Nothobranchius furzeri: one gene and its partner. The protein of the gene in region 1 purifies or fractionates together with the protein of each later gene. This does not show direct contact. Links are inferred from orthologs where the notes say so. Each region holds a gene or a part of one and is shown on either strand. Other genes may lie near its edges.

Region 1 (3,816 bases):
CTGCTGCCCCCCCACACAGATGAGTGATTTATAAAGTGTATCGGTTCCTCCTGCTGGCTGCTGGATCAGCTCATGAAGCCATGGACACGGGCATCACAGCAGATAAACTAAACATGTTTGTGGATTTATCAGCTCAGGGTTTCCCCCAGAAAAGTTCATAAGCGTGGCGGGGGTGGGGGCTGGGGTTGCACTACCATTCCTCATCCGTGAGAGTGTGTGTGTGGGGGTCACACCACCGTTCAGCATCAGCGGAGGAGGGGTGCGTAGTTTGTCTCGCCGTTCATCGTCCGTGACAGTGGAGAAGGTAGGGCCGGGGAGGGGGCGGGGCTTAGCCTGGTGGGGAAACCCTGTCAGCTGATAATGATTGACCATTAAAAACAACAAACAGGAAGTGATCAGTTATTTTGTCCCCTCAGAATCCCGTCTCAGCGGTGCACTGGTCCCCTGCGGATAAAAATCTGGTGGTCTCGGGCGACGAGAAGGGTGTGGTGGTCTGCCACTGGTTCCACACCGGAGATACGGCCAGCTTCTTCCCAGAACCCAGAACCATCTTCTGCCTGAGCTGTTCTCCTCACAGCTGGAAGTCTGTGGCTGTCGGGTAGGACCAGAACAGAGCAGCACATGGGTCAAAGGGACTCCATGTGTTAGACACACACACATTCTGCTCCCCAGTGTTTCAGAGGTGAACGGTAACGATGAAACACTTTTGTAGGTATAAAGATGGAATGATCGTGTTGATCGATGTGAGTAAGAAAGGCGAAGTGATGCAACGTCTCCGTGGACACGACAACGAGATCCACTCTGTGGCCTGGTGTCCTGTGACTGGAGAGGATGCCTTCGGCAGCAGAGCTGAGGATGGAGACGGTAACGCTGATGTCCCTTCTGTCAAAACTAAAGTGCACGTTTTACGTGGATCTCGGGTTTCATGTGTGGGTCTGCTGCAGGAGCTGATGGAGTTCCAACAGAAGGCGAGACGGGATGCTTCCTGGCTTCTGGGAGCAAAGATCAGACGGTCCGGATCTGGAGCACAGCGAAGGGAAAAGGTGCTGGATTTGATTTTAGTGGCAGCAGGTTAAAATCACAGAGGCTGACTCTTCTGCCGTCTCAGGCGTGATGACGCTGAAGCTGCCGTTCCTGAAGAGGAGAGGTTCTGCTGTCGACCCGGGAGTCAAAGAGAGGATCTGGCTCAACGTCCTCTGGCCGAAGGGCAGACCCACACAACTCATATCCAGCTGCTTCAGGTCAGGCGGTCCGGATGACCCGGAGGGCAACTTCTCATGTTATCAAAACCAGAACCATCCCAGAATTTCCTTTCGTGTCTAACTCCAGCTGGTTTCTGTGTGTGTTTGTGAGTCCAGTGGGGAGTTGGTGATGTGGGATTTAGCCAGTACAGGAAAACAGAGGTGGAGTTTGTTCGGATCGTCGTCTGAGGGTCAGAACCACAACCGGATCGTCTTCAACATGAGTTCTGTCCAACTGCAGGACGGCAAAGAGCTGCTCATCAGCACCTCCATGGACAGAGACGTGGGTCACTGTGTGTGTGTGTGTGTGTGTGTGTGTGCATGCGTGTGCGTGCGTGCGTGCGTGCGTGCGTGCGTGCGTGCGTGCGTGCGTGCGTGTGTGTGTGTGTGCGTGTGTGTGTGTGTGTGTGTGTGTGTGTGTGTGTGTGTGTGAGTGTGAGTGAGTGGGAGAGAGAGAATCAAATCAGAACCAACTGTTTCTTGATCCGGTCCAGATTAAATGCTGGGACCTGGAGTCTTTAGGCTGCTGCTGGACCCTCCCCACCCTGGGGGGTCACGTCTACACCCTGACCTTCTCTCCTGTGGGCGTGGCCTGCCTGGCGCTCGGCGTGGGCGACAACATGATCCGGGTGTGGAACACGCTGAGCTCTCAGAACCAGTACGACATCAGGTCCTTCTGGCAGGGGATCAAGTCCAAAGTCACGGCGGTGCGGCGGGTTCCGTTCCTGGAAACATTCCTGTAAATTCCTCAGGTTGGTTATAAATCCGTTTCCCGTCTCTTGCAGCTGGCGTGGCATCCGAGGAAAGAAGGCTGGCTGTCCTTTGGGACTGATGATGGAAAAGTTGGGATCTACGACGTTTTCTCTAACAAGTGAGATCCTCGGTGGAACTACCTCTGGTGTCATCGGTTTTCCAGATGACATTCCTAATCGGCTCCAGGATGTTCTGATTCAGTTTATTCATCGTTTTAAATAAAACTCCTTAAATTAAACTTTCATGAACTTTATTTCATCGTTACCTCTTAATCCTGAAACTCAGCTCGTAGGTTTTTCTGCAGCTCTGACGGCTCCTTTGCTCTGCTTGCTCTCCCCCAGGCCTCCTCAGATATCGAGCTCCTACCACAGGAAAACCGTGTACACGCTGGCTTGGGGGCCCGCCGTCCTCCCCATGTCGTTGGGTGAGTTCCTGTTGAACTCCTGGCAGCTGCTGCTGTTTGCTCTGAATCTTCTGACCCAGCACAGTCTGCACCATGGGACGCCTGGAGAAACCACGAGTCAGCAGAAAATCCCAACGTCTCCATGTGGCCTTTTGTAGTCAACTTTGTAATAGAAAGAGCCCCGCCCCTCCCATCAGCTGTGATGAGCACATGGATCAGCTGGGCCACTGGGCCCTGATGGCTGCAGCACCACTGATCTGCTGATGCCTCCTTCATCTGCAGCGTTGCCTCGTTGTCTCCGTTCTGTGGGGATTAAAGCTGCTGATGTTGGGATTACGGAGGGACAGGATAAAAAGAAACTAACGGCTAAACCTGAAACAGGACTTAGCCCCTCCCAGATTACAGCAAACCTGCTTCTAAAGTGACTCATCGTTTTATTGTGCTGAGTCATCCTCAGAAACATTTGTTTTTGTGGCGTTCAGGTGCAGAAGGAAAAGCGAGCTACAGCTTGTACAGCTGCTCCGGTGAAGGCGTCATCCTGCAGCACGACCCATCCAAGCTGAGCAGAGCGGCGGCAGACATCGATAAGCTGATCAGGGACACCAACAGCATCCAGGTGGGTGGGGTCCGAATGCCACACGGCCCGCCCTGGGGTTACCCGGTGATGGCTGAAGACCTAAAACCTGCTGGTGTCGTGTTGGCCGAGGCTGGATCTGTGCTGACCAAATGTTTTTACCTCCAACAGCACAAACTGTCTCCACACACAGACCTCAGCTGGAAACCAGATGGGAAGGCTGTTGCTATTGGCAACGAGGATGGGTGAGTGACCTCCGGGGGCTCGACCCAAATCGCTACACAGCAAGGCCTCCGGGTTTCCGAGTTGTCTAAATGCCCAAATCAGACCGAAAGGCGTCAAAATGTTTTTATGTGTCTTTGATCTCATTTATATTCATCCTTACTCAGCATGAAATCGTCTGAGTTTAAACCTCTGAGAGGTTCTGGAGTTGGATAGAAGAAAATCCAAGAACGTGTCAGGAAAACCGATTTATTCCAGAGTAGCGGCTTCTGGTTAAAATGCAACTTTGATTCAGAGCTTAACTGAGGTTTGTTTTAGGATGCTAATTTAAAATCCTCATGTGTTCATAACCATGCTTCTCTTCGCCCTCCCCTCACAGGAGCATCGATGTGTACCAGCCCCCCCACCTGAAGCTGCTGTGCAGCATCCAGCAGCATCACAAGATCATCAACACGCTACGATGGCACCCCGACCACAGCTCCGCCCCTGAGCTGCACGCCCTGCTGGCCTCCGGCTCCAGCAACGCCATCGTCTTCGTGCACGACCTCCGCTCCGTCCTAGGTGCAGCAAGTCCTCCTGTCATCCGTTACTACATTTGAAAAAATCTGCTTTCATTTGAAGAT
Region 2 (3,816 bases), on another chromosome or scaffold:
AACAAAACACTCAGGTCCTAACGCTCTGTGTGAACATCGGTGCAGCAGAATGCCTGATGACCCACCTTTCTGTCTTAAACACAGCGCCGCTACTCAAACATGTAATTAGGTGAAGCCCTCGTTTCTATATTTGACACCCATCAGATCATCATTCAGAAAACGCATCAGCGGCAGGTCTGGATCATGTCACGCATCCTTTTGTTTTCCTGTTGTGACTCAAGAGTTTTATGTCCTGTTTTTCAGAGGCGGGAAAAGATCGAGAGACGCCAGACGGTTTTGGAGACAGAACTGAAGCTTTGTGAGTGGGACATCAGATGTGTGCTGTGGTGCAAGGGTTTATGTTGACGCTATGTTGTATGTGTGATTTCAGGGGACCCCCATAATGACCCAAATGCACAAGGGGATGCGTTCAAGACGCTGTTTGTTGCCCGAGTGGTTAGTATGAAACCTGTCCTTAGTGTTAACTCTAGAACGAGTGTGTCACCGCTGCTAATGCTGGGTGTAACCCCGTCTCTCCTCCAGAACTATGACACTACGGAGTCCAAGCTTCGTCGTGAGTTTGAAGTCTACGGTCCCATCAAACGAGTGAGTTCATGGCTGATCTGCAGAATGCATTTGCATAGGGATGCACCCATGTGAAAATGTGGGCTGATTTTAATATGATGTTGCGTCCCATAAGTGATATTTACCAGTGTTTTATTAAAAAGGGTTTTTTAAAGAAAGATTGCACCTCATAGAAAACGTACTGTCATTTGTCAGGTGCACCTGAATGTAGCCTCGTCCAGAACAGAGCTATTAGATATTTATTAGGGGTTCATAAGTATATTACTGAGGTGGCCCTAGAGGGTGATGGGGTGGGAACCCTGTCTGGTCAAACGGCAGACCTCACCAGAAAGGTTTCTAACTGGGACAAATCTGATATCTTTGCTCTAATTTCCTTTAATAAATGTACATTTTTATTTTTTAATCATTTACAACTCAAACTTTCAACAGCTCCACCATTTGTTTAAATTTAAAGACCAGTGGAAATTTGATGTGCTTAAAAATTTATATTCAGTTCAGAAGTGATTTTATGACAGAGCCTTATGTTGCTTGTAATCTAAAAATAGGCAACAATCACTTTGTGCACAGTTGCGCACGAGGGTCCTGCCTCTCGCCATTGCAGTGGGGCGATGCAAAGGGTTACAGGAGGAGCAGCGTTTGTGTGATTTTAGATGTTCTAGAAGATGAATTTCATTCCCTGTTTATAGTCCCGATGTATAACAATAGTCTCCGATTGTCCGTTTGAAAAGATTCAGAGTAAAAATCCTGATGTATTTTGGTCATTTAATGGCAAAATGTGAAGTTGGCTTTTTGATAAATACATATAGTGTTAAAACCTAGACAACAGGTACTTCATCCCGTTGTGTCTAATGATTTTGTAAGCGTATGTCCATTTCTTCTTTTGTAAATAGTGTCTTATGAGCCTTTATGGACTGGGCACGTGTTGTGCATGACACTTAAGTAAAATGTATTTATTCATTCATGTCCTCAGCTGTAAGTACCATAATCGTACATAAAAGGTGGGATGGTGTTGTTATGGGAACCGGGCTGACACCGCTCTTGGTGTTGGTCTGAATGGTTGAGCTAACCAATGTCTTCATGTTTCTGTCTCCCAGATTTATATAGTCTACAACAAGAAGACGGCAAAGCCCCGCGGCTATGCTTTCATTGAGTATGAGCATGAGCGGGACATGCACTGTGAGTACCAACCTCTCTGCAGCCAGCTCATTCTGTATGTCAGCACACTCATGGGGTCATCTCTGACAAAAGGGACTTTTTTCATTTAAATTTACTTTAAAAACTTTTTAGCTACAGTTGTTGGGTGGACCATCTGATGGGGCAGATGATGTCATACCATCCAAGTCAGCAGATGACAGTTTACAGGCGAACCGTTTGCATGAAGCCATAGTCTGTTGTGCGTGCGTGTTTGCTGGGCATGTCTGATGTGTTGGTTAGTTAAAACCTGGGTTTGTGGGAGGGTGAGGCAGAGTGATCTATCTGGGGAGCGTAATAACGGAGGTCTGAGTGTGTTTTATCTGTGAACCTGAACATGTTTGCTTGTCGAAGGGCACATTGTTAACTGAGAGGTGTTGTAGTTCTGTGGAAGAGGCGCTCTGCTGGTTGGACTGTGATGGTAAGCTCAAGGTCAGACTGGACACCAAACATTGATGGAGCCTTTTGCTCGACACTCGTTGAATCCCACTTTGTCATATGACTAGCTTTGTGAGGTCTGTCCATTTTTATTGCTAGTCTTCAATTCTGGTCATGGTGAGTCACGGTACAACTCATTTGGTAAGATGGTTCTTAGTTTTTATCCAGTTTTGGTCTAAAGTGAACCAACTGTTATCTAAAGCTGAGTTTATGCTTCTTGGTTGGGTCGGTGCAGAGCTTCTAGTGTGACTACCATAACAGTCTGTAGAGGAACCCACCTAATAGCAGTGGGTGTTTTATCCCGATAGCTCTCTGTGCCTTTCAAACAATGGGGCTCGTGATCAGTGTAAACAAACCGTGTAAACAAACGTGCGTCGCAGAGTTGGGAGAAGGGACGTTAAAATCTCAGAGGATGCAGGATACAGGAATATGTTAAAGACGTCGGAACCGCTATGTGGACAGAATCAGCGTTGTAAACTGTTTGGATTCATGGGTGTTTCTCAATGTCAATTGCTCGCGGACCGTGTCGCTGTCAGCGGAGAGTCGATGCGCTCGGAACGCTTCCCTTCCATGCGTCTGTGTGTGGGGATCTCTAGGCGTGGTGCGGCGCCTGAGCCTGTGTAGGGGAAACACTGGCTTCCGATAGAAAACAGACGGTGAAAGTCTAGGATTAGAAAATCCTGACAGATCTACGTCACACTGTCACTATCATTCATGGACTCACCATCTTGACTCACGACGGGAAAGGCTGTTGTTCGTTTAGCGACCAGCAAACAGCAGAGATCGTGTCCGCTAGTAGAAGCTAACCATTAGCAACTCCACCACACAACAAAACTCCTCCAGGCTTGTTATTTTTATCTTGAGAGGCGCTACATAAAAGATTTGTTTTCTTTCTTTTTATTTGTGGAGGTAAAACATCAACGTTGCAAATCAGTAGTAGAGTGAATTTTTCTAAGCAAAACCTCTGAAAAGGAACAATAAATATTTCAGGAGTTCAAAACCTTTATACAATGTAATCATGCCCTTTATCAATAATTTAAATAATGTGTGTGTGATTTACATGTGTTAATACAGATGTGAAATCAATTCATGTAAAATAATGTGACTATTTCTCAGACTGCAATCGTATCACCAAAATATATCATTGTTGCAACCCTAGTTGTATCAGTGCGCCTGCATTTGCTTACCAGTATGTATGTGTGGCCTGTGTGTGTATGATGGGTAGGGCTGAAACAAATCATCGAATGGTTCGATTCATTAAATTCCTCAATTCATTATTTTTTACTGATTCAAACACTTTTTACTGGCGCACTATGTGCTGATCTTTGTAATATACAACTCTCTGATGACTTACTATTATTTTTATTCTGAGCTACTACAGCAGGTCTGAGATTGATTAAGTATTTTTGAATTTGATTTGAATTGAATTGAATTGATCTAGGTGCAGTGGAGGAGAATACAGGAACCAGCAGAAACAGAAGCCGTTGTAAAAGGCAGAAATGGTCCAAAGTTTGGGATCAAGAGTTAAACTACGGGAAGTTAGGCTAATTCTAAGCTAGCGCGTAGCACGCTCACAATCAAGTAAAGTTCAGAAAAATGTGATGGTTGTGAACAACTCTACAA

What was found.
Region 2: the proteins of gemin5 (region 1) and snrnp70 purify together in Homo sapiens (affinity purification with mass spectrometry; 4 studies listed by BioGRID and IntAct, counting the BioPlex papers as one, with this or other methods). This does not show direct contact. The link is inferred for Nothobranchius furzeri from reciprocal best matches to the Homo sapiens genes GEMIN5 and SNRNP70.

The regions. Positions count from the first base shown.
Region 1 is NC_091750.1:72,358,482-72,362,297, forward strand, and holds part of gemin5 (gem-associated protein 5), read left to right. Parts: intron 1-416; coding exon 417-598; intron 599-712; coding exon 713-864; intron 865-944; coding exon 945-1,043; intron 1,044-1,108; coding exon 1,109-1,241; intron 1,242-1,358; coding exon 1,359-1,524; intron 1,525-1,735; coding exon 1,736-1,948; intron 1,949-2,026; coding exon 2,027-2,112; intron 2,113-2,335; coding exon 2,336-2,418; intron 2,419-2,879; coding exon 2,880-3,013; intron 3,014-3,142; coding exon 3,143-3,216; intron 3,217-3,572; coding exon 3,573-3,754; intron 3,755-3,816. UniProt on the Homo sapiens protein: The SMN complex catalyzes the assembly of small nuclear ribonucleoproteins (snRNPs), the building blocks of the spliceosome, and thereby plays an important role in the splicing of cellular pre-mRNAs.
Region 2 is NC_091758.1:13,870,823-13,874,638, forward strand, and holds part of snrnp70 (U1 small nuclear ribonucleoprotein 70 kDa), read left to right. Parts: intron 1-243; coding exon 244-298; intron 299-370; coding exon 371-435; intron 436-522; coding exon 523-585; intron 586-1,658; coding exon 1,659-1,740; intron 1,741-3,816. UniProt on the Homo sapiens protein: Component of the spliceosomal U1 snRNP, which is essential for recognition of the pre-mRNA 5' splice-site and the subsequent assembly of the spliceosome. SNRNP70 binds to the loop I region of U1-snRNA.